Nothobranchius furzeri: one gene and its partners. The protein of the gene in region 1 purifies or fractionates together with the protein of each later gene. This does not show direct contact. Links are inferred from orthologs where the notes say so. Each region holds a gene or a part of one and is shown in the gene's direction. Other genes may lie near its edges.

Region 1 (3,661 bases):
GCCCACTAGAGGGCAGCAACAATTAGTTTAGATTGGATCTTTCTTGCTGTGCTGTTTTCTTGCTCTTCTGTGGTCTAACGGTGAGCTGCTGTTCCTAAATCTTTGTTATCTTTCTGTTTGTCATCATCAGAAACCAGCAAACATTTTAGTGATGGGAGAAGGTCCCGAAAGGGGTAGAGTGAAGATCGGTGTGTATCGTGTTCATTTCTTAAGTAAAGTTTTACTTTATAAACTAACACACGTTGTTGTTTTGTAGCGGATATGGGGTTTGCTCGTCTCTTCAATTCACCACTGAAGCCTTTAGCTGATCTCGACCCCGTCGTGGTCACGTTCTGGTACAGAGCACCTGAGCTGCTGCTGGGGGCTCGGCACTACACCAAAGCCATCGGTGAAACCCTTTTCCACTTCTGCTCTGCACGTGTTTTTTATTGGTGTGGCTTTGACTTATGTCAGCACGTGCTGTGCGTTTCTCCCAGACATCTGGGCGATTGGCTGTATTTTTGCAGAGCTGCTAACGTCTGAGCCCATATTCCATTGTCGTCAGGAGGACATCAAGACCAGCAACCCATACCACCACGACCAGCTGGACCGAATCTTTAATGTTATGGGCTTCCCTGCTGGTGAGACTGTTAATGTGTTGGTGTTACACAAGATTTTTCCAGCTACGATGTTCTGGAAGGAAATGTGATGAAACGCATTATTTTCTCGGTCTTTACTTGCTCTGTTTTTGAATGTATTAATGTGGTCTGTAGACGCCGGACATCAAACCACAGACTTTATACAAGTCACAAACCTAGAGATGGTTGCTTGCAGGCCTACATTTGGACCGATACTTTCCAGTTCACAAAATCTGCTTCACTTTTCCTTTTTTCTTTTCTCGTCTCTGCCGCTCTATTTATTTAATTCACCAGTCAGTTAGAAGGATCACTTTGGTTTCTGCAGAAATTTTGGGCAAATTTGCAGAGTTTAAGTACAAAACCAAAGCTAATTGGTGTAAAAATGAAAGAAATGTTGTTTAATTGTAAGTTGCTGTGGAAAAATAATTTTTTAATTTCTTTAAAGATAAATGATCCTTCGTCCTAACCCTTTGTTGCCTTGGTCTAACAGATAAAGACTGGGAAGACATCAAAAAGATGCCAGAGCACTCCACACTGATGAAAGATTTCAGAAGGAACACGTGAGTCTGCAGACCACTTGTGTCCTGTTTTTTATTTGTTTTAAGATCAAAACAAAGCAAAGTATATCTTAATACACAAAAATTACACACACTTCATAGTTTGCTCCTGTTTTTATACAGATACACAAACTGCAGCCTTATAAAGTACATGGAAAAACATAAAGTTAAACCAGACAGTAAAGCATTCCACTTGGTGAGTTGAAGCGCTTTTGATTTAGTCTTTCTCTGCCTGATATATCTGGTACGGCTTTTTGTTTGACATTAAAATCACGTTATTGATTGCAGCTGCAAAAACTATTGACCATGGACCCCATCCGTAGAATCACATCGGAGCAGGCAATGCAGGACCCGTACTTTTTAGAAGAGCCTCTTCCCACGTCTGAGTGAGCTGCAGCAGATTTAGTTCTGGCTTTTAGCGCGGCTAACGTGCCGGAGGAGACTCCTGAACAGGTTGATGAGGTGTTTTTGCATTCTTCTAGTGTGTTTGCAGGTTGTCAGATTCCCTACCCCAAGAGAGAGTTCTTGACAGAGGAGGAGCCAGAGGACAAAGGAGACAAAGTAAAATTTACTTTACAAACTTATTTTATGAATGCATTTGAATCAAAAAGCAGTGGTGTACGTAGATAATCCTCATGGGCGGGCAGTATAAATTTGGGGTGGCACCAAATTGGTCCCTGTGGCTGTCGATTGCTTCTTTGTTATCTTTCATTTAGAACTAAAGGCCTATGCGTCCGTCATATTTACCTCAGAGTTGAGGAACACAAACATTTAAGAGGTTCATAGTTTTTTTCCGCTTTTGTTTTAAATTTTGCTGTTTTATAATTTTAAGTTTAAAATTTGCCTGTTGTCGTTTGAACAAAACCTTTTTGAACATATTTTTGAAAAAATATAGTGAGCCTCAATGGGATACGTAGTATATAAGCTGTGATAATTTTTTTTTAGTAGAATACATTTATTTGTTAGTGTAAAAATGTATGTCCTAATTAAAAAAAGATGAATGTACAATTTGTGTGAACATGATTGTGATTTATTAGGGAAGGTGGGGGGGTGGTCTTCCCTGGTGGGGGGCAGTGGGGTGGCCACCAATTTACCAGGGTGTGGCCATGGCCCCCCATCCCTGGCCACCCCTTGGAGCACCCCTGTCAAAGCAAAAATGAGAAACTAAAATGTTGTAGTACATGTACAGTATTGTTTAGATTGTTTTGTTGTTGGGTGTTTTAGAAGAACCAGCAGCAGCAACAGGGAAACAACCACACAAACGGGGCGGGGCACACTGGCAACCCAGAAAATAGCCACACCCAGGGCCCACCTGCAAAGAAGGTGCGGGTTGTCCCTCCCACCACTACCTCAGGTGGCCTCATTATGACCTCAGACTACCAGGTGAGCTTTTCTGCTGCTCATCTGGACACACAAACAGAACAGCTTGTGTCCTAAATGCTAAATAAAGAAACTAATTGCTGATGAAAACAGAAGAAATTTGAAGTTTTTACTGACAAAGCTTTTTTTGTTGTTGTTGTTGTTCATGCAGCGCTCTAATCCACATGCTGCCTACCAGAATCCTGGACCAAGCACATCACTGCCCCAAAGCAGCATGGGATACTCCTCTACCTCCCAACAACCACCCCAGTACTCCCACCAGTCCCACCGCTACTGAAACACCCCTCCCACAAATAAACACACACATTTCTAATCTGAACACACACTCACACAGCCATTTCTGTGACCGCCTGAACGAATGTACTGAAGGATGTGGGGATGGTGCAACACCCCACACCCTACCTTCTGAAGGCACTCTGCTGTGATCTGGTAGTTCAGAGAGACAAAACAACTCCACCAGTGTCAGACAACACAATCCCAGTACAGCGTAAAGCAAATCCTCATGGGTGAAAGGCAGATCAAGAGGATAAAAATAAAATATTCCATTAATCAGGCAAAATACAGACGAGCCATCTCCTTTCCTCTGCTTCAGTTCCCCTCGTCCCGTCAAAACTTGGATGAGACGAAAGCTGCTACGTGACTGCCCACGTTAACAGATTCTCAGTCCTCCTATTTGTTTTGTTTTTTTGTGTGTAAGGGGCCTCCGCTGAGGACTGAACTGCGGCAAAGCAGGCTGGGAGATTTTTGATCTCACAGCTGTGGGATGGAGGCTTTTTTTGTTCAGAAAGGACAGAGTAAGGATTTTAGTAGTTTCTAATTTAATCTATTGTCATGATTTTGTTTTCATGACAAGCGTAACACAGCAGAGTGTGTGAGTTGCTGTGTACTGTGAGTAAGCCTTACAACATGACGACAAAACCAACTAATCGTATGGAGGATGGCAGATGGAACATGCATTGTACTGTATTGCATTTAAATATTTTACATGAAACAAGTATCCTGACAATAAAAGTGGAAACATCAATTTTGGACCAATTTCAGTGCATTTTGTCATTCATCATTTCTTTTACTCTGTTATTGTTTTACAATAAGACATATTTTACAGTA
Region 2 (4,655 bases), on another chromosome or scaffold:
TTAATCTTTTTTGAGAATTTAATTAATGTAATCATTGAGAAATTAATAAATGAATGAAGTAATTCATTTTTGAGAAATAAATTGTTGGGTAATTTTTATATTACTCCCATATTACCTCAAAGAAAGTCAAAGCACACACAGAGGGATTAGATTAATAATTTGGTAAATTGTAATCCTGCCAACAACAAACAACAACAAATACTTTGCAAAGGCAAGAATGCATTTGCAAAGGGTGAGAGAATCACTACACACCAGACAAAAGGCATTTTGCACTCACAATCAGGCAAAGCCTTAGAGCTTCTTTTATTTAGGAAGGCACACCCAGAAGTTACAGATCAACCCCCACACACAGTTCTTTAGAACCAGCTGACCGGGGTAACCTAATCAACAGATTGTTGGACCTTCATCTTGTCTCAGGAAGTTACAGATAACAGGAGGGTGATCAAAGAGGTCATTCTTCACCACTCTAAAATGTGATCAAATTGATGACCTTCTGTTTAAACAAACACCTACACTGTTACATCAATAACCCTGTGATGTCAAAATCAGTTATATCCATCATGAATGAATACATTCATAAATTAATTAATTAATGATTAATTATTAATTAATTAATATAAATATATATATACTCAAAATAACAATTTGTTCTTGTTAATATTTATAATAACAGAAATACATATATTAGAATATATAATATAAATTAATATATTTATAAATAAATAAATTGACAAATCAATTAATTATTACATTGAATGAATGAATACATCGATAAATTAATTAATTATGGATTAATTATTAATTAATTGCTATAAATAAATATATTCAAAATAATTATTCATTCTTGTTATTATTTCTAAGAACATAAATATATATATTAGAATATATAATATAAATTAATATATTTATAAATAAATAAAATGACAAATCAATTAATTATTACATTGAATGAATGAATGCATAGATAAATTAATTAATTATTGATTAATTATTAATTAATTGCTATAAATAAATATATTCAAAATAATTATTTATTCTTGTTATTATTTATAAGAACATAAATATATATATATATATAAAATATAATATATGATATATATGAATATATTTTTAAACAAATTAATTGATAAATCAATTAATTATTACATTGATAAATGAATGACTGAATGAATGAATACATTGATTAATTAATCACCTCACACCTTGACTACTGTAACTGTCTTATTTGGTGTAAGTCAGAGTACTGTAGCTCGCTTACAGCTTGTTCAAAATGCTGCAGTGAGATTTTTGGAAGGCAAGAGAAAGTATGAACACACGACTCCAATTCTGGCTGCTCTGCACTGCTCCCTGTCAATTTTAGAATTAATTGTTTAATGGGTTGGCCCCTGCCTATTACAGCCACATGTTCCTGGTCTGGCACTCCTTTCTGTGAACCAGTTTCTGCTCTCGGTTTCCAGAGTTCAGCTGAGGACAAGAGGGGATAGGGCGTTCTCGGTAGCGGGCCCGAGACTATGGAATGCCCTTCCCTTAACCACTAGGCTCTCTCTCCCCATGAGTACAGGTTTGTAAAATACTACTTTTATGATCTGGCTTTTAACTCTGTGGGTTAGCTGTTGCTGATATTTTTACATGCTCTTATACTGTTATGTGTATATTGTTTTTTAGTTGTCCCTGCTGGTTTTATCTGTTTTATTTTGATTGTATAGCACTTTGGTGGCATGGTTCAAGCGGAGCTGAGGTGGAACATATTTTGGGGACTCATATTTTTGTAACACCGGAAGTGATAAGAACGGTTCATCAGAGGCATCCGGCTAAGATCAGCAATGCAGGTAATCGTTGATAATAGGAAAATAAAGTAAAACAAATGTAGGCGACATTGTTGTAGTTTATTATGTTCACTGGTATATCAAATATATTTGCTCTTTAAAGATAATTTAACTAGCCTTCATTTGCGAAGCTATGTAGCACGTAGCTTTTCCCTGCTAACATATTTGTTGTCTCGTTTGTTTGTCAGTCATCAAAATGAAATAAAATGATCGTTCTTCACGTGTCTTTCAGCAAAGGGAAGAAAAGCAGTTGGAAGCCTCTGTGGACACGCTGATCTCTCTGGTGGCTCACGTTAAAAACGCTCTGCAGAGTTTTATTGCCAAGTTAGAAAATGAATATGAGCGTTTGACCTGGTAAATTATTATTATTATTAAAATAGAAACGTACTATCTTATCGGTAAAGAAATGCAGCATTAGATGGGTGGCCGGTGATGCCTGTGCTTGGCAGCCTCAGCTCTGTCAGTGTGCCACAGGGCAGCTGTGGCTACATTATAGCTCATCACCACCAGGGTGTGAATGTGTGTGTGAATGGATAAATAATACACTTTGGAATCCCCTGACTCTGAAAGGCGCTATAGTGTGGGTCATTTTCATTTGATATTGCTGTGGTTGGTCTAAATTTCTAGGCTAGTGAAATGGTGCTGCCTGATCACGAAAACAATCATGATTATTTTTGTTCCTGTTGGTCATTTTTTAGTGCTAACTAAGGATGAAATAAAAATTGTAAATTAGGTTAATTGCACAGTCCTTAGTGAAATAACCTTAGTTTAAAATATTTTAGTCCAGATGCGGATCTTTTGATTAAAATTTCCTCTCAGACGCTACTTTGTGTTCTGCTTTGACTCAGGCCATCTGTTTTGGATAACTTTGCACTCCTCTCTGGTCAACTGAATACCATCAACAGACTGCTCAAGAATGAGAAGACGCCATCTTTTCGCAGCCAGGTTATTATTCCGTTGGTCTTATCTCAAGAAAGAGATGATGACTTAGCGGTGAGTAGCAGCATCTCAGTCTCATCTACTTATTTTTGAGTTAAGCTCACTAATAGCTTCTCACTGCCTCTCAGAAACTCACAGAGAAGCGTGTGCCGGTGTTCAGCCATGAGATTGTTCCAGACTACTTGAGGACCAAGCCTGATCCAGAGGTGGAGGAGCAGGAAAAACAGCTGAGTGCAGAGGCAGCACGGATAGGTCCTGATGCAGCACAGGTTGTGTGGAATAATATTTTGTGTCCTGTTAGTTGTCTGATTTGATAGCTTTCATCCGGCTCTGCTTTGTTTACCTTCATTTGTCTGCATGAACAGAAACAGATCCAGACTTTGAATAAGATGTGCTCCAATCTGCTGGAGAAGCTAAACAACCCACGGGAAGACCGAGATGCAGAAAGCGCAGGTGTGTTCAGGTTTTGCTGCACATTTTTTTACCATTAGAAAAAGTTGTTTAAAAGTTAAAGTCCCATTAGTCGTCACACACTAGTGATATTTTTTCTCCGCATTCGACCCATACGCTGGGGAAGCGGTGAGCTGCAGACATGGCCGTGCTCAAGAACCATTTGGTGGTTTAACCTAGGGCTGCTCAATTAATCGAAGTTTAATCCCAATTACGATCTGAGTTTTGAACGATTATTAAAACAAAACAAGCCAATTATTTGCTCCTCCCACTTACGCTGTCCTGAGTTGCAAATGAAGCGCTCCTCCTTGATGCTATTTCTAGCAGCTTCTCAGACCCCCTTCTTGACTTTTTAAATCTTAAAAGTACCTAGCAAACACCTCAGAAACATCTCTGGAAACCCTTAGCTACTTTCTGGATAACTGTCGTGGACATTTCCTGCAGGTTAGCTAAACACTCCGCCTGCGCTCCGGACCGTTCTTCAGGACATTAGGAAAGGGAATGATGTAGTGATGTGTCAGTCGCTAAGGAAACGGCTCACAGAGCCGACTCCCTGTTAGAGTAACCAGAGTGAGTAACACACACACCGCACCTGCGGACTCCTGAGCCTCTAAAAACAGCTAAATGTGCGCGTGCGGCGTGCTAAACACACGTGCAGCTTGCCCCCGATTGCTGTGAGACCGGGTTGGGGGGTGCAGCTTTGGTTGGGACAATTATTACATTAACTGATGGACCTGTAAATAAATAGTTTATAAATAAGGTAGAAATAAGTTCCTCACGCTGATAAATAATAACTAATCTCTCTGAGGACACGGTGCTAGTGCACTCTCCTACAGCACCTTGACACGACTCAATAAATGTTATGCAACATTTTGTGAACATCAATTTATTTGCGTTTATTTGTTATAAATGCCACTGTATAATTCTTGCTGTCAGTATTTGCAAGATATTGGTATTTGGGTCTGTACTGGTTAGACTAACATGAGTTAAACCAAGGTCTATAGCCCTTGGGTCATAGACTATGAGCTATAAGTATATTGGTCTTTTTATACTGGGAATCAGGAGTTATTTTAGTGATCATCTTGTTTCTCATTTATTTTTGTCCTGATTGTGCCCTGAGCAATTTTATGACAGAATAAAATCAACATAAATTGAAAAATCGTCTTAAATAATCGAGATCTCAATTTCAGTCACAATAATCGTGATTATTATTTTTGCCATAATCGAGCAGCCCTAGTTTAACCCCCCTAATCCAACTCCTTAATGCTGAGTGTCAAGTGGGGAGGCATTAGGTCCCATTTTTAAATTCTTTGGTATGACCCGACCGTGGCTCTAAACGCCGATCTCCCAGTCTCAGGACGGACATTCATACCACTAGCCACTGAGCATATTTTGATGGTTTAATTTTCTTGTTCCAGCATCTCGACAGAACAAAGCCTC
Region 3 (4,225 bases), on another chromosome or scaffold:
TTTGTGAAAAATAAACAAGATTTATGTTAAAATATACATATTTGTTTGTTTTGTGGCAGTAGTACACCACCGTGAGGACTCCTCTCTGTCTTGTTTCGTGACGTGTGATGTGGATTCTGAAACTAGAAAAGAGACTTCAAGGCTTCAGGTGGACAATACGATAATATCAGTGGACGTAGCTCCATCTGGGGTTTTCGTTTGTACGGCAGGTCAGATTTTGGACAATAGCACGACTGTTACCAGCACTTACACATCAGCATCAGCAGTTTTAAACACATCAGCAGGCGAGTGAATGCCGCGACCCTCTTTTTTAAATTCTAAATTAAAATTAAACAATTAAAATAAACATATTGTTGACTCTACAGGTGAATCTGAGGAGACTGAAAACACGTTTCCAGCCATTTATGGAGTATCAATCACTGCGGCATGTCTAGCTGTAACAGCACTCGTGATTTTTTGCTTCAAATCAAGACTGCAAGCAGGTAGGATTTGCAGCTGTAGGTTTTCGTTGAGACTTCCTGTTTTTTGTAATTTACATATAGATTTTAATCATGCACAGTGGTTTGCCCTTCAACCTGATTCTCTTTCTGTCTCTCCTCAGCATTTCCGTTTCACAGCTCTTGTTGCGGATTTGGCAGCAAGGTATGATGAGTATTATAAAGTGTATGTATGAAATACCACATGTGATGTTTTGCTAAGGTAATTAATGTCTTGTTTTATGCTGCAGGAAGAAGAAGAAAACCCGACTGTTATTTATTCTTCTCTTGTCATCAAGGCACCTCCCGCAAGAAGACATAGATATGCATGTGAAACTGACTGCATTTATGGTGAAATAAAAGTGTAGTAGAAACACACCTGGCAGAGATGAAAGCTAAACTGAAGAGTTAGTGATTGTAGTTTCCACACTGTCCTCTGATTTAGTGATCAATTTGTCAACAACTTCTAATATGATTGTATGTATAATTATTACTCCCACAGGGTTGTGGAGGTAAAATCTAAAATTTCTCAATTTTTGCCCAAAATAAATAAATAAATAAATAAATAAATAAATAAATAAATTTCTACATTTAAAATATATTTTATTTTATACATACTCTTCCATAATATGTTACGATATATTGCTGAAATGTGGATACATTTCTCATTTTGCAGATTTTGAATTTATGAATAAAATAATACAATTTAAATTTTAAATGTTTAAAAATTTCCAAAGACAATGAAGTGAATTTATTTTTAAGAAACTGTTCCGATATTTTAAAATGACGTTCTGAGAAAGAGTTATAAGCGATTAAAATATGATCTGATGAAGACAACTGAATAAAATCATAATAGAGAAACAGATTAGTTGTGACTGGACTGATTATTTTTTCATGATTATTTATAAACTGTTGGATCATTAATTTACTTTCTGCAGTTGCAGAATGAACTTCATTTCTATTTTTATTTCAGGAAATGTGGAATATTAATGCGAAGATCCTGTCATTTCGTTTGTGCACCGTAGTTTTTAGACATAGATGTTGTAAAACCGTCATTCTCCAGTAGGTGGCAGCAGAGTGTTATCATAGCGGTTGTAACGCGCTTCAAAAACAAGCCAAAGAAAGATGCTCTCGTATTTTTGATGCATATTGAATGTTTTGTCTAATCTCCACATGCGTGGGTGGTTTTATTTTGACTACGTTTCCTCCATTTTTTACTTGAACAGCTGGAGTGACTCATTTGTATGTTGCTGACGTAAAAACTTGGCGAACTAGCGGTTAGCTAACGCTACATGCTAACCGGAAGAGGCTTACCGGGTCTTTAACAAACCATTACGCCAACATTTATTCTGGTTTACCTTAACAGGTACGGAGTAGCATTCTGCTTTATGGCTATTTTTCATGTAAAAGTAGACTTTTTGGGGGAGTCGCAAACTGTATGAATGATTTAGCTTAGCAACATAATTTAGCCTTTTAACTATTAGCTAGCATAACGAACAAGTTAACATCATAAGTAGCTATTTACATTAAGCTCTGCATATTATCAAGTAACAGTGAGCCAGCATGCAAAGTGTTGATTAAAATAAGTTTAGAACCACCTCGACCTTTTTCTTAAAGTGAAATATTTAGCTATTTATTAGCATGTTGAGCTAAGCTTACTGACTGCTTTTCTTTTTAAATTGGGACAAAAGCAGATACCTGAGAAAAGATGGAGGCCCCTCCTGTTACCGTGATGCCTGTGACCGGTGGGACGATTAATATGATGGAATATTTGTTACAAGGTGAGTTAGTGAGATACAAAATAAAAATAGTCTCCCTGAGTGCTTTTTAAGTACACAAGAAAAATTACTTTTCAGACATTTCAACGTTTTATACAATTGTCAGTTTTGCATTAGTGGCCATATGTAGTATTTTATATCAGCTATTATGTCAACAATGAAAGATGGATGACTGTTAATGGGGAAAAATCTAAATTGAATTGAATAGGCTATTAATCCCAGGGGGGACATTCACTCTAGAGCAGAACATACGCTTAGAGAAAAGGAAGAAGAAAAAAATAAAAACAAAAGTGCAGGTACATACACAACGGCAGTAAGCTATTATTGTAACCTTCAAACCACTAAGAGCAACAAAATAAAAATACTAAATTGGGTTTCCAAAGATGTACAGCATAAGGAACACATATTTGTAGGTGATAACTAAGATTTAAAAGATCTTCTACCATAAACTGAAACTATCAGTTATTAGTCATTTTATTTTTACTAATTTGTAAAATCTCAGAATCTTGTTTCTGCTTCCATGAAAGCATAACTGTGGAAAAAGTCCTCAAAAGCTGGATTAACCTCTAATCTGACAGTTTAAGGAAACGTGTTACATGAAAAACATATTCTGATGAAGACTGATTATAGAATACATGTTTTATACCTTTACTGTTTCAGATAAAGTTTGAGTGACATAAGATGTTTGTTTTATTTTTGAATTATTCATGTTAGAAAATGATTGCTGTTATTTTTCCTTCAATGAAGCATTATTTTCTTTGTTTTTGTTGAATCCAGGCAGCGTGTTAGATCTGGCTCTGGAAAGCCTGCTGCATCGCCTCCGTGGTCTGTGTGACAACATGGAACCCGAGACTTTCACAGACCATGAGCTGGTGTACCTTCTGAAAGGCCAGCAGGGAAATCCTTTTATCCTGCGTGCCCGGCGCGCCCTCTCCCACCCAAATGCTCCATGGCATCTGCGTTATCTCGGCCAACCTGAAGTGGGAGACAAAAACCGCTACGCCTTGGTACGCAACTGCGTTGACGTGGCTGCCTCTCACAGCCTTCCAGAGTTCCTGAACGAGATGGGCTTCCGCATGGACCACGAATTTGTCACCAGCGGCCACATATTTCGCAAAGGAGCTATGAAAGTGGTGGTTTGCAACGTTTCTCGGGTCCAGCTACCAGGAAACACGGAAAACACAGAGCGAATGTCAAATTCGCACCTAGTTGAACTGAGCGTGTTGGCCCCTGCTGGCCAGGACACGGTTTCAGAGGACATGCGCAGCTTTGCAGAGCAACTGAAACCTCTGATTCACCTGGAGAAGATTGACCCAAGCAAGCAGAGACATTAGAAGTAGAATTCAGACTAACATGGACTCATTTAATGTAGCTACTTTTGTTTAATTGTTTGTTTTTTATCTTAATAGAAAATAAAATACTGCTCAACTTTTATTCGAGAGTTTTATTTGTTTTTGAATTTGTTTCACTATCTAAAAAATGCTTCATTTATTCCTCATGTTGATGAAAATTATAGTGTATTAACAGCTAAAGCTATTTATTCAAAGAACCTTTTAATGCTTTACTGAATAAGAGGTGGTTTTTGCTGTGGACGTTTTTCTTTCCGTCCACTAGGGGTCTCTCTTTCTCTTGTCTTTGCCTTGATTGGAACAAATTGAATGCTACCTCTCATCATCTACTGGAGCTGTGGTTGCCATGGAAATAATTAGCTGCGAGATCTGCACATCTTTTACCTCATTCTAATTAGCTTTCTCAATTGCTTAATGATACATAGACCTGTGAAAGCCTTCCTTTCTTTCCCTCAACAAAAGCATTGATTTTCGCTCCCTGCCCCTCTCGTTTCCACTGTTAACCCATTAGTGCCCCTTTTTCATGGGAAATTGAACTGGAACCATTACACATGAAAGCTCCACAGCTGCCTTGGGTCCTTAACTGTTCACGATGAAATTGGAAGAAGAAAAAAAAGAGGGC
Region 4 (4,618 bases), on another chromosome or scaffold:
GGCTTTTTCTGCACACATTAACACGCTCTGTGTCACATAGATTCAACGCCATAGAAAATGTGACTTTAAGAAAACCACATTTCAATACAAAATCGTGTGGACTTACCCCCGGACGGCACTCCGAATACTTCAGATCCTGAGTGTCCAACACAAAAAACCTCTCTTTGTAGTTATTTGGTGATGTTCTTTTCTTTTGCTGGGATTTTTTGATCATGGTTCCCCTCAAAATCACCCTGGGGAACATTGTCAAGAAGAACGCAGCGAGCGTCTGCGAATGGTTTTGTCACAAGCAGAGCCTCGCAGAGTCAGAAGAAGAAAAGGCAAAGTTGTGGATGATAAACTTCGTAGATGCTGTGGAGCTTCCGGCGTGAAGCTGCGGCAGGCAGTAAACCACATCCTTGTGGCAACAAATGATTTGCGCAAGCAGAAATACACACTGTTTGATGCACAAACACTGTAGATGTCTACCCTGCACATGTACTTTCACTAATGTTATAGAGAATTAACAAGTTAAGCCCAAAGCAGGACTGTGAATGCAGAAATCCAGGTTTTGGTAGTACTTTTTTAAACAATTGGGAAGATAAAATGAGTAACAAAACACAAAACATCACTGAAAAAAGTTAAGATAAAGAAATATCTCTCTTTCTCTAAATGTGTCTTTGCATTTAGGGGTTACACGTCAAAATATTGTTATTTTTCAGAGAAGTTTAGACTGTTTACAGTGAATGCAGTCCATTAAATTCTTGATTAAAGTAAAGAGTAAAAACTACTTAAGCCACATAAAAATTTACAAAACTCATCTAGGTGACAAGGAGTAAATAAATAAACGTGAGCAAACCGGTTCGGAACATTAGGAATTAAAATGCTGCTCACTATCTTTTCACAAGAGAATAATAGAATTCAGTTTGTCATTATCAACCCAATTTCTTTTTAATATCGATATCAACCCTTTTACACCGTTCTGTTTGTGGCAGGTGTTTCACATACATAAGAAATCACAATCATCTTTTTTTATTATTATTATTTTAGGATAAAATTCATAGATTTCTGCAGATTCTGAAAGAGGACAAACAGATCACAACATGCCCTATAGGTCATAAATTGTAAGTCGCTTTGGATAAAAGCGTCTGCTAAATAAACATAAAGAACAAACAATAACTGACATAGTTTGTAAAATGAGAACCCGAAGGAATTAATATACAGGTTATTGTTTTTATGTCTTTAAAATTAGTATTTTCATTCAAAAATATTCAACAGTTATCTGAATATTTTAGTAACTTTTCTTTTTCATGTATAAAATCAGTTCAGTTTGGGCATCAAACGGTACTTTTTCCATCGATCCTCTGAAGAACAAAGTAAAAGAAAAACAAATTTTTCCGTGCTTCCGGATATTTCTACCAATCAGCGTTGAGCTCTTTCTGTGACCGCACCCCAATCAGCGTTAGGAAAACAATCACGAGGACAGTTCAGCCAATAGAAATCAAACAGAAACGACTGGTCTTTTCTGCATTTATCGAAGAAGCTATGTTAGCCCTGATCTAATTTTCCAACGATATTTGATTAACGTTATTATTAGAAGTATATGTTGTGTTTCTAAAGGATTGTTCTTAAGGTGGGTATGAATACATTTACTCCCTTCTCATTTACCTTTTATGTAGTTCGCTTCATTTTTGACGTGCCCAATTAACTACCGGGATTAGCGGTGGCTATAGTTAGCTAGGTTTCTGTACAAAATGCAGCGGTGACGCTAACGTAGTTCTGCTTGTAGTGTTTGTCAATAACACATTGAGTCCGTAACAAAATAAAGGTAACACAGAAGACAAAGGTTCAATGGTTAGGTGCGTGCTAGGAGTTGAATTTGACTACTTAAATACCTAAGAACAACGTTTCAGCCAGATATTAAACCTATAATTATTAACTATGGCTAATAAAGCCTAATTTTACTTCAAACTAGATTGCAAATGTTTTACGCCAAAATGAGCAGTAGTGTGTATACTATAATTTACGTGTCATTTTAAGTTCATATCTACTTTTCCTACCAACAACAGCAGTAGGTGCAACTTAAAAACCCATCAGAATCTAGTTTTGCTTTGAATGTTTTGTGCTGGACTGGTGCTGCAACACATTAGTTTAGATTTTAGACTAACACTTTACTGGAAGTGTATGCTGATTATTGAATTTGCCCCTCCAGCCTAATGATAGAATCCTGCAGTTATTGGGAGAATGACGTTTGTCGAATTTTTAAATATATTTTATGTACAAGGATTTTGAGAATCTTTTATCGAAACTCTCAAAAAGTAAATCAAACAATAATAAATTCTTAATAAAAACATTTTATTTGTTACTGCAGTTTACATTTAACAGTATTTATTTGTACAAATGAGGGGCATTCAGGCTTTTACTACAATCTGTTATGTGTAATAGTGTATATCTTTTGATGCAGAGCTCTACACGATATGCTGTTACCTAATAAGTTATTGTGCTCATTAGGTAGCTGTAATGTATTGTGTAGTAGTAGTAATCAGCTGATAATGTCATGTTTTTCAGCTTAGCCATCAGCCACAGCTGGTTCTACATGAATGTGGAGCCGAGTTTTAATCTGAAGATGGAGATATAACTATGGTTTTGGGCTGAAATATTAAATTTAGAATAAGTTGCACTAAACTGCCACACTGATAATTGCACATGTCTACAGCACTATTAGACACTCATCTGTACAGGTTATCAGCTAAAAAAAAGTTCATTTAGGCATTTCTTGATCTTTAATAGTGCCTGGAATTCCTAATAAATGTTTTTTCTTTTTCTATACTTTCAGGTCTGCATCATGGGTGAACCACAGCAGGTCAGCGCCCTGCCTCCACCACCTATGCAGTACATTAAAGAGTACACAGATGAAAATATCCGCAAGGGTCTGGTCCCAAAGCCGCCTCCACCCATTAGAGACAGCTACATGATGTTTGGCAACCAGTTCCAGTGTGATGACCTTATCATTCGACCTCTGGAGAGCCAAGGCATCGAGAGGCTCCATCCAATGCAGTTTGACCACAAGCGGCAGCTCAAAAAACTAAACATGTCAATTCTTGTGAACTTTCTGGACTTGTTGGACATTCTCATCAAGAGTCCTGGCAGCATAAAGCGTGAAGAGAAACTGGAGGACATGAAGCTTTTGTTTGTTCACATGCATCATCTTATAAACGAGTACAGGCCACACCAAGCCAGAGAAACACTGAGAGTCATGATGGAGGTCCAGAAGAGGCAGAGACTGGAGACGGCAGAGAGGTTCCAGAAGCATCTGGACAGGGTGGTGGAGATGATCCAGGGGTGCCTTGCATCTCTACCTGATGACTTACCCCAGTCGGATGTAACAGACGGTGTGTGTGTTGGGACCAAGAGTGTGTCTGCTGGATCTAGTTTTGGTTGTTCTTCTGGACAGGCCCCCATTCTGAAAACCGAACCAATGGATGTAGAGGACACGGGCGCCAGCTGCATGGCTGCAGGTGATCAGGACAAGAATGTCCCAAGTTCAAAAACAGACAAAACATGGGACAAGGATGCTGCCATGTGTAGTATAATAGATGAGATAGCATGAAGATTTACAGCACATGCATGTTTTTACTTTTCACTCAGCATGAAATACTTTGTGTGGGATAAAAATACTATTATTTGTACATGTTCTTTTCAAATTCAACTAAATGTACTTGTAAATATTTCCTTAGCGTTTAAATCTTATACAGATCTTTGTGTTCACTGGGCTCAATAAATCTATTTGAAACCGCAGCAGGAGTTTAGTGCCGTCACAAAAACGATGATCTAATATGGTTCCACATAAACACAAAGTGCTTTTGTTAAGAATTTGTTGCTAATTCTGACGCTGTGGTTTGCTGATTATGCATTAGCGGTAGATGCGTAGATCCTTTAGCTAGTCGGCATATCAAAGAGCTTGATTCATCAGAGACCTGAGTAAAATTTAATTAAGTCATTCTGCCTTCTTTTAAAATGTAATGCAATGTAGACAAGTTTAGGGTTGGGGTGTGCTGAATTGAAAGGTGACATTTGATAGGTTTACGTCTGTCAGTCGTCTGTACATGTGATACTTTATACATACACTATTTTTCCAATAAAAATTCAAATAAAACCTATTTAATAGTGATGTGTCGGTCGCGAACGAACTGGTTCTAAGAGCCGGCTCTTTGAAGTGAACGACAGGAGCCGTCTCGTCATTGGGAGCCCTCCCCTCCCCCCTCCCCTTTTGCTTTGGTGAAAGCTGCAGGCGATTAGTCAACATGTGTAACTACGTGTCCAGACTGTCCACACACAGAGCAGTAGGGGTGGGGAAGAGGGAGGATCAGACTCAGACACACAGCAGAGCACATGCGGGCGGAGGGAGACGAGAGGGAATGAGGAGGAGGAAAAGGGCGAGAGAGAGGAGAGTGTGATGAAGACAGAGAAAATGAGCGCCAGCAGTCGGATAGTGGAGATTTCTGAAAGTGTTCAGTTATTAAATCCATAGAAATGGTAAATATTTGATATATAGCATTTTTTTACATTAGTAAATCATTTTACACATAGTTTAGCATTATTTTGGTTATAAATATACTCTAAGCAACAGAAAATCTGA
Region 5 (4,463 bases), on another chromosome or scaffold:
ATCTGTATATGTCTATGTAAATAAATTTTACCTTAATGATGTCTCTGGATATTTGTAAAAAACATTTTTTCTGCCCAAAAACATTTCAGTGTTTGTAAGCAGTGTGATTTGACAAAAGTAAAGGAATGTATTGTACCGAACAGGAAGCAATCACCATGAGTATTAACACTGAAAGACTACCTTTGTTTTCCTGCTGGAGTTCTCTGATCTGACGGTTCTCTTGTTGGATTCCCAGAACCAGACTGGAACGAGGCCGATGTCGCGCAACCTGGTTCAGTGCATCAATCTCTTCCTGGTACTGTCAAATGTGAAAAAATAAATAAATAACGAATCAATAAAAAGCTTCGCCCTCAGTAGTTATGTCCTGTAAACTAAACAGCAGTCAACGCTACGGTTAAAATATTCCATCATTCTTTGGAATGCACTTTACTTTCTTCTTTTGCATTATAGAGTGTTCAGTTATAGAATTAGTAAAATGTGACCCCTGGTGGCACTAAGCTAGTACCCAACAGCACATAAAATAGGAAAAAAAAAAATCACATACCGTTTTTATAGCCTCCACTCTCTTGTTGAGAGATGTTGTCTGTTCAATTAGCATCTCAGCGGCATTGTCGTGGTTACGAAGCCTTTCCACTAATGATTTGGCATCTGCCAAGACCTTCTCTAAACTACAATTCATACCTAAGGAAATACAGAAGCATAAAAACAACTTATTTTTGATTATTCAACAGCTCTGACTTGTTGGTATCAATTTATTGAAAATAAATATAATTAATGCAATACACTACGAATACATGCAAACAAATCAGTCCAGTAAGTACTAATCTTTATTTCTTCAAACTCAGCTCATTCAAAGATCTGTCTACTTCTATATTAGTTGTTCAGAATCTTTTTACAGACAGCCACACGAAAATACATGAACTTTCACTTCACCACACTCTGTAAAATAATAATAATTCACCAGAACGATCGAAATGAGCCATGAATAAACGTTTCTAAAGCTAAAGAACCTAGCTTGAACCTTAAGCCTCCTCGTAGGTGATAGCACGCTAGTTTACAGCCAATAATGCATTGATAGGTCATTTTACTCTAATAAGAGTTTTATTACTTAACATATTTTGCATTTACTGACACAATTTATCACCACAACACTTCATTAATCAAATATAAACTACCGAGGAGTTCATAACACCAACCGGCTGCTATAACTAAACTTGTAAGGTCCACAAAAGGCAGCAAAACTGACAAATGTGTGGTCATACCTGAAGAGTTCAAAGTACAAAACCACTTGGGTTGAGTTAGCTTCTTTACTTCCTGTTGTTGTTTGGTGGCTAACACTGGCTAAAAGCTGACGTTTACTCCGGATTAGATGCTTTGGCGCGTTCCCATTTCCTTAAAGCACGAGAGTAAATATCGCTAGTCATGAAAAAGTCGATTTAAAACCTATCCACATTACAAAAAACCAGCCGTGGGACGGTCACAGCCATCGCTTCAGCTAACTCGAAGCCTCTTGTTTATTTCCGCGAGACGTTAAACTCTCGCGAGGGTCACGTTGGGGAGTTTTTTATTTTATTTACGGCAACATGGCGGATAGGCTAACGCAACTTCAAGACGCTGTCAATTCTGTAAGCAAAACTATTGAAATATCCCGAAATATAATTATTTTCTACGTCAATAGTTATTTTTTTATCTTACACAATTACAACAAATGGATTTAGATAAGAAATATTTGCAGAATTATCGTTTCAGTCTTTTAAATGTAGCTAATCGCTAACTTGCGAGTCTAAGGTTTAGTTAATTTACACAATTTATCACAGCTTTTATGTTTTAACCAATGAACATGGCTTGGTTTAACTGGTAATGCAACTATCAGACTATACTGGCTGTTTATCTATTCTATATTCTTTTAAACAAATGTCCGGAGTTTTAAAACCCGTGTTTGTTTTGTTGCGTGTGAACAGCTGGCTGATCAGTTCTGTGATGCCATCGGTGTTCTGCAACAATGTGCTCCACCTGCTTCCTTCAGTAATATTCAGACAGCAATCAACAAGGATCAGCCAGGAAATTCAGCCGAAGGTTTGTAACTTCAAAGCAAAATCTTTATTTAAATCTCTTTTCTCCCACATTCAGCTAGCCTGACCAGTCATGCATCCTTATGGGAAGCATTAGTTCTCTGTGTAGAATTAAACAGAGGACGAGTCTGGCAGGCCAAACATGCTCACATGCCTGGTGGAAAAATCACTACCAAACTCTCATGGGTTATTTATTTTCCTATTCGAAGAAGCCACAATTTAATAAATTGTTTCAAAAAGGGGTTTCGGGGTTTAATTGTATAAAAGTAAAAATGCTAGTCAACAAGTGAAATACTATTTCCAGGATAAAGTTAAAACGTCAAGAAAAATGTTGAAATTTTAAAGAAAATTGTCAAAACGTCTAGGAAAAAAAGTGTTACCATTTCCAAAATAGCCTGAAGAACTGAATCTCAACTGTACCCTGCCCATCCCCAAAAGTGTCACTTTGTAATATTTAGTTGGACTGCCCTTCACTTTGATTGCTTCTGCAATGTCAAAAGAATTATTCCCATCCTGAGTTGCATTCATTTTTTAATGAGGATCCTGTAGAGATGTTGAACAATCAAACAGTTTTAACAATTGTCATCGCAAAGATTGTCATTGGTGCTCATTGGGTCTGCATCGATATGCCCTGATCTCTTTCATGGTTTGATCCTGATGAATTGTGGAATTGCCATCTTGAGGTTATACAACCTATTTGCCTTGTTAAATCCAGAAGGGATTTATTTTGTTACAGGAAGTGTTGTTCCCTTTTAACTAAAGGGACGTGTTTGCTGAAGACCCTTATTGTGAAAGACTGAAGATCTCCGAGTTCTGCTTTAACAAAAGGAGTTAAAACCTGATATTTAAAGGGACTTTACGGAGTTTTGAATTTTTATGCTAGCGATTGCCCCCTCAGGCCAAAAGTGTAATGGCAGCTTCAATAGTAGGCTCGTGCACGAGGCGCGCATGCTGTACGTGCACACTCCTTTACGAAAATAACAGCTGAGACAGTCCCTTGTGTGTGTGGCCCGGAGGACAGAGGACAGGAGAAGGTGCAGCTAATTAAATAATTTGGTTCTGTACCTTTCTCTTCAGCACAGCCGACAAAGGTTTAAGATGGGTCAGTCCTCCTGCATGCTCAGATCATTCCCTTCCCTTGCTTGAAAAATTGTTCCAAAATGAAAGTTGAACCCACATCTTTTTTATCTGTGAATTCAATGCCGTTCGGCAAGTGTCAAATAAAAATTTGGGCATCTTACTGCAAAAAAATATACCATTAATGTAATGTACATCCAGATTCGAACTCGAGTCTTCTGCACGAAAGTCCGTCGTCTTACAAGGCGAGCTAAAGCGCCAGTGACGTTCCTTGTGTCTGTAACATTTATATCCTTGATGACAGCTGAAACAACGTTCAAAGAACAGTTTGGAGGGCTATGCCTGAGCGTGAACACGGATGAAGCAGCCTGCTCGACCCGAGCAGCTCTCTTTTTCTGTGATTTTACAGAAAAACAGGCAATCACAGTAAAAATGCCAGGGCTCATTCTACAGGACCAGGGCATTGCAGGAGAATGTATGAAGAAGAAATTTATTATTTCTATACATGTTTTGGCTGTCAAACTTCCATAACGTCCCTTTAACCAAATAGTTATTTTATTGAATAGTTTACTGGGTAAAACATTCCTGTAACCGTCGGTTACAATGATGATAAAACTGGAACAAATGCAGTCTGATTCAGGGGCACAACAGGGTTTGTTTTCTTTTTTGGAAGTTATATTTTGATATTTTTCAAATTAAATTGTAATATTTTTCCTCAGTATTTAGACGTAATTATAGATGTTTAGAATTTGTTCCCCACTATTTAAAGATGGTTTCTACTTTTGTCTCTTGTCTTTTCTCAATGTTCTAGAAATAGTTAAGTGTTGATTCTTAACCTTTAAACTTTTTTTTCTTCATCCTGGAAGAAACAAGCTGACTTTGTCATCGACATTATGACTGTAATCTTGAATTTTTAAAATACTGTTGACGTTTGTCTCGACATATTGACTCATTCTTGGGATGTAGCCTTTATTCTGGGGGGAATATTTAGACTTTTCTTGTCATTTGGAACTATTATGTCGACTGTACCTACTTGTTTAGTTGCAGCAATGGCACTAACGCTCATTGCATTCCCTCATGTGTGTTTTCCCTCTCCTCTAGAATATGCACGGCTATTTGCCGCTCTTATTGCCAGAACAGCCAAAGATGTAGATGTACTGATCGACTCTCTGCCCAGTGAAGAGTCCACAGCAGCCCTGCAGGTCGGCACGCTCGCACTCACTTCACTCTTGCTTCCAGTAGGAGCTTCAGATCTGCCTGCATTTATGCTGAAGGAAATCATTCAGACTTCTACTAAAATCACAAGGATTGGTC
Region 6 (3,314 bases), on another chromosome or scaffold:
ATCGGTATCCAGCACGTTTTGGTTTTAATTCCGCTTCAACACACCTGATTTCAATTAGTAGGTGATTAACAGGCTTCTGCAGAACCTGATGAGCTGCTGCACAGGTGATTCAACCACTGAATCAAGCGTGTTGGACCAGAGAAACCACTAAAACGTGCTGGATAGTGGTCCTCGAGACTCAGAGTTGAGTAGCCCTGATCTAAAGGCTCAGGAACTTTTTGCAGATGTTTTGGATTCTTTAGCTGGTTAGAGTGACTCTTTGAACCCACAGCATTGAACCTGTTCACAATATTCTAATTATCTGAGATTCTGAATGTGGGGGTTTCATAAGCTGTAAACCATAATCATCACAATTATAGCATAAAGACGTGAAATATCTGGCTTTGGATGGAACGAGTCTGCCTCGTATATTAGTTCCAGCTTTTAGGTTGAGTTCCTAAAATGAATCAACTTTGTCACCTTATTTTATTTTTTTAGTTTTACTTATATATATACATATATATATATATATATATATATATATATATATATATGTATATATATATATATATATATATACATATATATATATATATATATATGTATATATATATATATATATATATATATATATATATATATATATGTATATATATATATATATATATATATATATATATATATATATATATATATGTATATATATATATGTATATATATATATATATATATATATATATATATATATATATATATATATACATATATATAAAAGCTTATTAAACATTTTTGGATCCAGTTATATGACATTTAACAGCTTCTCATACACGCAGTACGTTGCTCGTGGCGCTGCAGTAGGTCTTCAGGAGACGTTTCCATTCAGCTGATTAGAAACAAGCTCCTCCTACTGAAGCAGCTTGTGTTTCCTCTGCTAAGTTTGGATCAAGGCTGTTAGGTAAACACAGGTAAAGCAAACAGTGAAAGAAGAAAGTGTTGGAAAATGAAGTCGAATACACATAAAATTAACAAAAATCTTTGTTTCATAATATTTGCGAGTTAAAGTTAATGTTTTTAACGGTTTAGATGGTGGTCTGCTATAAAGACTTTATTGCAGCGTTGCTCCTTGGTAGTTGTGTGATTCGTGTCGGTATGGGATGCTAACGAGCTGCAAGATCTGATGAACTGATTGAAATGTTTTTAGATGACGATGAGAGCAGCCGGACCAGCCAATCAGCAGCCAGCGGTTAGCGGAGCTCCGCCCAATCAGGTCACTCAGAGCGGACAGCCTCCGGGTTCCATACTTCGACTTCCGAACCCCGGAGCCAATCCACAGCTTCGCAGCCTCCTCCTGAGTCAACAGCAGCCAGTAAGAACAGCTGCTGGAGTTTACTTCTTTGTTTTGAGTCATGATTTTTTTACTCTGCGCTTCTACGGGCGAAGTTAACGCTCCGCTTATGTCTCTGTGTCCTTGCAGCAGAATGCGGTGTCTCACATGCCAAACATGATGTCCCATCAAGGCTTAGGACAGCAGCTGGTCCACTCGGCACCAGGAGGGGGGGCTCAAATGCAAGGCCAGTGGAGGCAGCCGATGACAGGTCAGCAGTTCAATTAAGATTTTTCTGCTTCAGTTGCAGAAAGATTTCTTCTTCTTTTTTATAATCTTTGGTTATTTTTATCGCTCCGTTTGCTCCACATATACTTTACTGGTCGCATAATCCTAATATACTCATGAACTGTAAAAGCTGTATTAGTACTGGTTTGTTTATATACAGATTTAAACATCAAAGCAGCCAATCTAGCTGCCAGGTTGGTTTATGTCACGTAGGGTTGGGCGATACGGCCTGAAATCAATATCACGACATATTGAGCATTTCACCTCGATAACGATAAATGGACGATAACTACAGGTATGCACAGAAACTTAAGTAGTCCACTAGATGGGACTGTCACGTGTGTTACGTTGAGTCACATTTTTAAGGTGATACAGCTTCTTAAAGGGACCTGAACGTTGCCAACCCACACACATCTTTTCATTTTTTATTATCAAATGTATTGACATGGGAAGAATTTTGATAATGATACATTTTCCATTTACTGCCCATCCCTATAATGTGGTTTGGCTGATGATTAGCTACATAGTTTTATTAATAAAAATTGTTAGAACAAAGAAAATCAAAACACTATGAAAGATCTTTTCTGCTACAGTTCGGTTATATTCTGTTAAAATTATCATTTAATTATTTATTATTTTAGCATCTTTTGTAAATGGGGCAGTAGACGCATCTTCAATAAAAGAAGCCTTTAATAAATTCTTGTGTTTGTTAGGGATGGACGTTCAGGCAGCAGAGGAAATCCTCGCAGGTCAAAAGCTGGTTTAAAAATCCTTGAACATATTTAACGCACCATGTCATGAGTAAAACTCTGGGTGTTACGCGATACAAGCGGGGCTTTTGAAAGAATTGTTTGTGTTTTTCTGTGCAGGTCAGATGCTGATGTCCGGAGGTCAGAGGGGACCCGTGCCCCAGCCCGGGATGTCCCAAGTCTCCAGTGTGATAGAGGAGGAAATGCTCATGGACCTGCTCTGACCAAGCGTGGTGGACTCTGTAATATAATTTCTCGTCAGTTCCGAGCAGCAGTTCTGGGCTCATAGATCTGTTATTTCTTTTATTTTTGTTTTTGCTACAAATATTTGATATAAGTAAGAAATAAATCATGTATTTTCAGGCTTTTGAACATCAGCTCTCAGCTTGAGTTAACTAGGAACTTGAAAGTGTGTGTGTGTGTGCGTGCGTGCGTGCGTGCGTGAGTGTGTGTGTGTGTGTGTTATTTTTCTTTCATGTAAGTGGTCTAAAAGTGGGCCGCGGATCCTTTGTTCTACCAGCTGGACCGGACCATGGAGAACGGTCCATTAAGTCTCTATAAACTCAACTCATCTACAAGTTTTACATCCCAACATTAAAGTGAAAACTGCTGTTTAGTTCTCTTTTATTTAAAATGTTTGTTTTTGTCCTTTTGATCAAGGTGAAATAAAAATTTCTGTAATTTCTTTGTTTAATTATTCATCAAATTAGTTTGAGAATCAAATGATTGAATGAATCTGGATAACGGAGCAGAGACTCGGTCTGCTCTCTGCAGCGCCGTGCCGGTCTTCACGCTAAGCCTCCACGCTCCTGCTGCTTGTGCTCTAAAGGTAAGGATGGATACTGAAATAGGCACAGTAACAAAGAGTTCAGTGTCTGTTTCTGCCAAACAGTGTTAATTTTAACTACTCCCAATATGTCGAGGAACCATAGAGGGCCGTGCTGTGCCAAGTAGTTCTACCAGATGGCATCAGT
Region 7 (4,415 bases), on another chromosome or scaffold:
TTTTTGCTTGTTATTTTTTGTCAGAATCGTTTTTTGTTTTATTTAGTTGAGGAGTTTATATATTTATTGCAAAATCTAAAAACATCAATGCTTTTCCTGTTTAAAGCAAAAATGAGTACCTTTTGAAAAATAATTACCATGTATGTATGAATCTCTCTCTCTCTCTCTCTCTCTCTCTCTCTCTCTCTCTCTCTCTCTCTCTCTCTCTCTCTCTCTGTTTATTACACGTAGTTGGGTATTTATTGGGCTTTGAACTAATAACTCATAGTTTTATTTCTGACATGTTTTTGATTCAAAACTACAAATTTATGCTGGTAAACATCAGTATCTAAATATATTTATTTTATATTACCTATTAATATTTTAATTGAATTTAATAAGAACAAAACCCCTTTTTAATCAGTTTAAATGACTTTCTCTGACTCGCTGGTAGAAATAAATTTTGCTCATCTGGTAAACAGCGACATGTAGTGTTCAACATTATCTCATGCTTGCGACGCAATTTTTGAGCACTAGCTCCAACCAATCACCAGAGAGAATACTCCTACGTTTGAAATATTGACCAATGAGCGCTTACGTAGTTGCAACAACGATTCCATCGCTTACGTTGTGAGAGTCTGGTTTTCAAACCTACAGCCCTGCATGCTGTGGAAAAGTCAGGTAATTCTTACATTGGGAAAAAATCAGTGCGACTAGAAATGTTCCCATTGACGGTGACATAGGTGTGTTTAATAGCTGTTGAGTTTTTTTGTTTGTTTCAAACAGCTGATGGATCGCGTCGCTATCTAACGGCTAACATGCTAATAAACACGCTTCAGCGACATTGAACGAATGGTTCAAACTATTAGTATTCTATTATTAGTATGGAATATATCAGTGAAATGCGGCGAGACTTCCTCGTTTGCTTTTATTTTGCTTGCAATGAGCCACGTTTCGATGTCGTTTTTTCATACTAGTGGACTTATTCAGGCTTTAGCTTCTCTTTAACCTTACCTGGCTGCTTTATAACTAATAATGTACTATCCGTTTACAGAAAAATGTTCTTTGTTAATAAGATACTTAACAAGATAGATAGATAGATAGATAGATAGATAGATAGATAGATAGATAGAGTAGCAGACAGGGAAGTACAAAAGTATAAGAATAGGCAGAAGTAATATAAACTATTGGTGCTTTACTATACTAGAGTAACATGTTTCATGGTTGTATATTTGTAGTTATAAACAGATATGCGTTTGTGGAAAATTAATCTACAATAAAAACATCTGTTGCACAGCGATGGTATGCATGTTGTCTTGAAGCCATATTTACTATGGCAGAGATGGCCAAATGAGCAGCCGATTAGTCTCTGTAGGGCAGTGGTTTCTAATCCAATAGCAATCACTGCGTGGTTTTAATCAGTGAGGTACTTCTGCAGAGCTTGTTGACATGCTGATCATGTAATTCAAGCTTTGAATTGGAAGTGTTGGAGCAGACAAACAGTGAGGACCGCAGTGAGGCGTCCTGAAGAGAGATGGGTTGTCTGTGGTGGGGAGCAGTTTGTGCAGAGACGACCTGTCTCTCATGCCCTAGGACCAGATTTCCATGGTTTTCCTTAGGTGCTTGAAACGACTTGAATTTTTTTTCCCATAAAATACCTAAAACCTTAGCTGAAATTGGGGATTTGGAGTTTTGTGCATGACAAATGTGTGTGTGTTCACTCTTGCTAGGATGAAGGTGGTGAATTTGAAACAAGCCATTTTGCAGGCGTGGAAGGAACGATGGAGTGATCACCAGTGGGCCATCAACATTAAAAAAAACTTCCCAAAGGGCCAAACATGGGACTACCTTAATTTTGCTGGTTTGTGACGCCTATTTGTTGATAATCTGTTAATTTAATAAACACTTCCTCTATGATTTGAAATGTTTTCTGTGTATTTTAGAGGCACTGATGGAGCAGGCGATGATCGGTCCCTCTCCCAACCCGCTGATTCTGTCTTACCTTAGATATGCTATAAGCTCACAGGTAGAGAGAAGAACCATGGTTATGATCAAACATGCAGCTGAACAGATTATCTAATGGTGCACCTCATTCTCCCTGTCTCAGATGGTGTCCTATTCCAGCGTACTAACAGCCATCAGCAAGGTACTTTTTGGAATATAAACACAATGGTGTAGTAATCACTTGAAGAACTACAACTTTAACATAAATATCTCCATTTAAACAGTTTGATGGCTTTTCTCGGGAGCTGTGTGTCATGTCATTGTTGGAGATAATGGACATGTTCTGCCATCGTCTCAAGTATGTTCAATCTTTTCTAACTCAACAGATTGTGTCAATGGGTCATCATTCTACCACTAAAAAAATGTATAAACTAAAACAATTTCTTGTCTGTGTGTGTCTCAGCTGTCACGGAAAAGCAGAGGACTGCATCGGGCTGTGCCGGGCCCTGCTGGGGGTGCTCGTGTGGCTGCTGCAGGGCTGTGCGTTTTACTGCGAGAAGTTAAGAGAGCTGGGCCCGTCTCCCAGCATCGAGGCCGCTCTCAAAGCCTGCCAGGAGAGGCTCCACCACCTGATGAGCAGCACTAAGATCAGAGCTCTGGTCCACATTGCCCGACTGGAGGACCAAGGTGCCTGAAAATAGCTTTTTCAAACCATTTATTTAAAAATATTGTTTTGAGAAGCTGAAAGGTGTTCCTTGTGGATACAATGGTGTTTAAAATCCTCAAATCTCTCTCGGAACATATTTGTTTTGAAGCAAATGGCAGACCACAGGATGTTGCGCTTACTTCATGCACCTTTAAAGTGTCTGTGTCTATGTCCTCAGGTTCCTGGGGTAACGCTGAACAAGCAGTGCTCAAGGTGTCTGACGGCCTTGTTAACGTGCCAAACCAAACACTCAGAGCTAAACTAGAGGAAAGCTTGTCTCTAGTTAAAAGGTCAGCCTTCCTCTGCCCGACTTAGAAGGGCCATCACAATCCAGCTTGTTTATGCTGCATCTCTGCTCTTCTCCCTCAGCATCCCGCTGATGCTCTCGGTACAAAGTGACCCGCCAGTCCGTGCCTCTTTCCCATCAGTTCATGCTTTCATCATGCTGGAGGGGACCATGAATCTAACGGGGGAGATCCAGCCCATGGTGGAGCAGCTAATGATGATCAAAAGAATGCAGGTAAACATTAAAGTGGGGGGAAACAATCACATTGCACCTTTTTTATTTTTTGTAGAAAGATGAACCTTGTAATGTTTTTAGTTGGAACAATTTTAAGTAAGAATGTGTTTTCATTTCATTTGCATTTAAAGGGATACTATGCAACTTTTTTCATAATTTTAAATCATTTTCTCAAGCTATTATGTGCCAAAATGACCCTTTGCAGGGTTAATGAAAGGCCACCCAGCCCCTCTCACCACCGTGGCCAGAATATTCCACTTGCAACTTCAGACTGGCGGGCCACTCTAAGTTAAGCTGATTTACCTGACGCAGTAGTCTGCTTCTAGCACGTTTCCTTCATGTTTTAGATCACGAACACAGCTAATTTGTTTAATTTAGTGATGAATCACTCCTGTATAAGGAAGGCTGAGGAGACATTTCAGCTGTTAGATTAAGGTGTTAAAACACATGTGTCAGACACAAGGCTGGCCTGCGGAGCATTTCTATGTGGCCCGCGAGATAAATATCAAAAATATATTAAAACTGACCCGCTGGCCGATTTTACTGTAAAGACTACAACTCCCATGATGGTTTGCGGCGTTAGCGCGGAGCCAAAGCGCCCCCTCCTTTGTGTTTTTTCCAGCATCTACTGCCGGTGTCTGCAGCTCCGCTGTCTCGGACAAACTAAACGCTCCTCTCACTCAGCGCCAAGTTCACTCAGCTGTTTTCTGACGTTGAAGCCCAGAAACGGAGATTTTAACCGCTCTGTAATGTGTGAACGACTATAAGAGAAAGATTTCCAACTAACTTTCAGACAGAGCTGATTTTACTCCAGCGAGCAGCGACGAGCTCAAATCAGCATGACTCTGTGGCTGCTGTCGTTTTTATTTTTCCTCCCCAACACACAACGACGTGGTCAAGCTGCTCAGACATGTTCAGCAGCACAAACCTATGTGAGCACCTGTTGTCATATAATGTTGTCATTATTATGATGAAGATGAACAAAACAACAGGAGTCTCCTCCTCAGCTCAGATCAACCCCATGATGCAGGGATCTGGCTGGAACAGGTGAGCATCACAGTAAACCAGTGGAACAAACTGAGCTTTAAATATGTTGGTTTTATGCTCTTTTTCTGCTCCAAAACATGAAAGTTAACAGGTGAGATGTTGCATTTTCATTTAAGATAAAATGATATTTTTATTTTGTTGTCGGCCCGTGAGAAAAGATTTAACCTACAGTAAACAGGAAGTGGAAAGGCTGCAGATAGATGAATAGAATAGAAAATC

What was found.
Region 2: the proteins of cdk8 (region 1) and med8 purify together in Homo sapiens (affinity purification with mass spectrometry; 7 studies listed by BioGRID and IntAct, counting the BioPlex papers as one, with this or other methods). This does not show direct contact. The link is inferred for Nothobranchius furzeri from reciprocal best matches to the Homo sapiens genes CDK8 and MED8.
Region 3: the proteins of cdk8 (region 1) and med18 purify together in Homo sapiens (affinity purification with mass spectrometry; 5 studies listed by BioGRID and IntAct, counting the BioPlex papers as one, with this or other methods). This does not show direct contact. The link is inferred for Nothobranchius furzeri from reciprocal best matches to the Homo sapiens genes CDK8 and MED18.
Region 4: the proteins of cdk8 (region 1) and med7 purify together in Homo sapiens (affinity purification with mass spectrometry; 7 studies listed by BioGRID and IntAct, counting the BioPlex papers as one, with this or other methods). This does not show direct contact. The link is inferred for Nothobranchius furzeri from reciprocal best matches to the Homo sapiens genes CDK8 and MED7.
Region 5: the proteins of cdk8 (region 1) and med21 purify together in Homo sapiens (affinity purification with mass spectrometry; 14 studies listed by BioGRID and IntAct, counting the BioPlex papers as one, with this or other methods). This does not show direct contact. The link is inferred for Nothobranchius furzeri from reciprocal best matches to the Homo sapiens genes CDK8 and MED21.
Region 6: the proteins of cdk8 (region 1) and med25 purify together in Homo sapiens (affinity purification with mass spectrometry; 8 studies listed by BioGRID and IntAct, counting the BioPlex papers as one, with this or other methods). This does not show direct contact. The link is inferred for Nothobranchius furzeri from reciprocal best matches to the Homo sapiens genes CDK8 and MED25.
Region 7: the proteins of cdk8 (region 1) and med24 purify together in Homo sapiens (affinity purification with mass spectrometry; 13 studies listed by BioGRID and IntAct, counting the BioPlex papers as one, with this or other methods). This does not show direct contact. The link is inferred for Nothobranchius furzeri from reciprocal best matches to the Homo sapiens genes CDK8 and MED24.

The regions. Positions count from the first base shown.
Region 1 is NC_091747.1:51,014,231-51,017,891, forward strand, and holds the end of cdk8 (cyclin-dependent kinase 8), read left to right. Parts: intron 1-130; coding exon 131-188; intron 189-256; coding exon 257-388; intron 389-476; coding exon 477-620; intron 621-1,107; coding exon 1,108-1,177; intron 1,178-1,297; coding exon 1,298-1,370; intron 1,371-1,462; coding exon 1,463-1,560; intron 1,561-1,656; coding exon 1,657-1,735; intron 1,736-2,398; coding exon 2,399-2,557; intron 2,558-2,705; coding exon 2,706-2,831; 3' UTR 2,832-3,050; downstream 3,051-3,661.
Region 2 is NC_091756.1:57,827,626-57,832,280, forward strand, and holds the start of med8 (mediator of RNA polymerase II transcription subunit 8), read left to right. Parts: upstream 1-1,506; 5' UTR 1,507-1,561; intron 1,562-1,706; 5' UTR 1,707-1,823; coding exon 1,824-1,829; intron 1,830-2,058; coding exon 2,059-2,180; intron 2,181-2,674; coding exon 2,675-2,819; intron 2,820-2,893; coding exon 2,894-3,034; intron 3,035-3,130; coding exon 3,131-3,218; intron 3,219-4,633; coding exon 4,634-4,655. UniProt on the Homo sapiens protein: Component of the Mediator complex, a coactivator involved in the regulated transcription of nearly all RNA polymerase II-dependent genes.
Region 3 is NC_091745.1:72,040,723-72,044,947, forward strand, and holds med18 (mediator of RNA polymerase II transcription subunit 18), read left to right. Parts: upstream 1-1,557; 5' UTR 1,558-1,842; intron 1,843-2,167; 5' UTR 2,168-2,184; coding exon 2,185-2,257; intron 2,258-3,031; coding exon 3,032-3,588; 3' UTR 3,589-3,688; downstream 3,689-4,225. UniProt on the Homo sapiens protein: Component of the Mediator complex, a coactivator involved in the regulated transcription of nearly all RNA polymerase II-dependent genes.
Region 4 is NC_091742.1:50,786,247-50,790,864, forward strand, and holds med7 (mediator of RNA polymerase II transcription subunit 7), read left to right. Parts: upstream 1-1,470; 5' UTR 1,471-1,612; intron 1,613-2,815; 5' UTR 2,816-2,824; coding exon 2,825-3,589; 3' UTR 3,590-4,139; downstream 4,140-4,618. Other genes in the region: itk (tyrosine-protein kinase ITK/TSK), read right to left, coding at 1-8, 107-244. UniProt on the Homo sapiens protein: Component of the Mediator complex, a coactivator involved in the regulated transcription of nearly all RNA polymerase II-dependent genes.
Region 5 is NC_091741.1:59,846,701-59,851,163, forward strand, and holds the start of med21 (mediator of RNA polymerase II transcription subunit 21), read left to right. Parts: upstream 1-1,533; 5' UTR 1,534-1,583; coding exon 1,584-1,625; intron 1,626-1,961; coding exon 1,962-2,076; intron 2,077-4,250; coding exon 4,251-4,351; intron 4,352-4,463. Other genes in the region: fgfr1op2 (FGFR1 oncogene partner 2 homolog), read right to left, coding at 181-298, 545-679. UniProt on the Homo sapiens protein: Component of the Mediator complex, a coactivator involved in the regulated transcription of nearly all RNA polymerase II-dependent genes.
Region 6 is NC_091745.1:8,253,023-8,256,336, reverse strand, and holds the end of med25 (mediator of RNA polymerase II transcription subunit 25), read left to right. Parts: intron 1-1,180; coding exon 1,181-1,345; intron 1,346-1,453; coding exon 1,454-1,574; intron 1,575-2,304; coding exon 2,305-2,340; intron 2,341-2,460; coding exon 2,461-2,564; 3' UTR 2,565-2,747; downstream 2,748-3,314. UniProt on the Homo sapiens protein: Component of the Mediator complex, a coactivator involved in the regulated transcription of nearly all RNA polymerase II-dependent genes.
Region 7 is NC_091756.1:31,526,287-31,530,701, reverse strand, and holds the start of med24 (mediator of RNA polymerase II transcription subunit 24), read left to right. Parts: upstream 1-1,577; 5' UTR 1,578-1,584; coding exon 1,585-1,598; intron 1,599-1,709; coding exon 1,710-1,840; intron 1,841-1,922; coding exon 1,923-2,005; intron 2,006-2,086; coding exon 2,087-2,125; intron 2,126-2,207; coding exon 2,208-2,281; intron 2,282-2,386; coding exon 2,387-2,610; intron 2,611-2,807; coding exon 2,808-2,919; intron 2,920-2,998; coding exon 2,999-3,149; intron 3,150-4,415. UniProt on the Homo sapiens protein: Component of the Mediator complex, a coactivator involved in the regulated transcription of nearly all RNA polymerase II-dependent genes.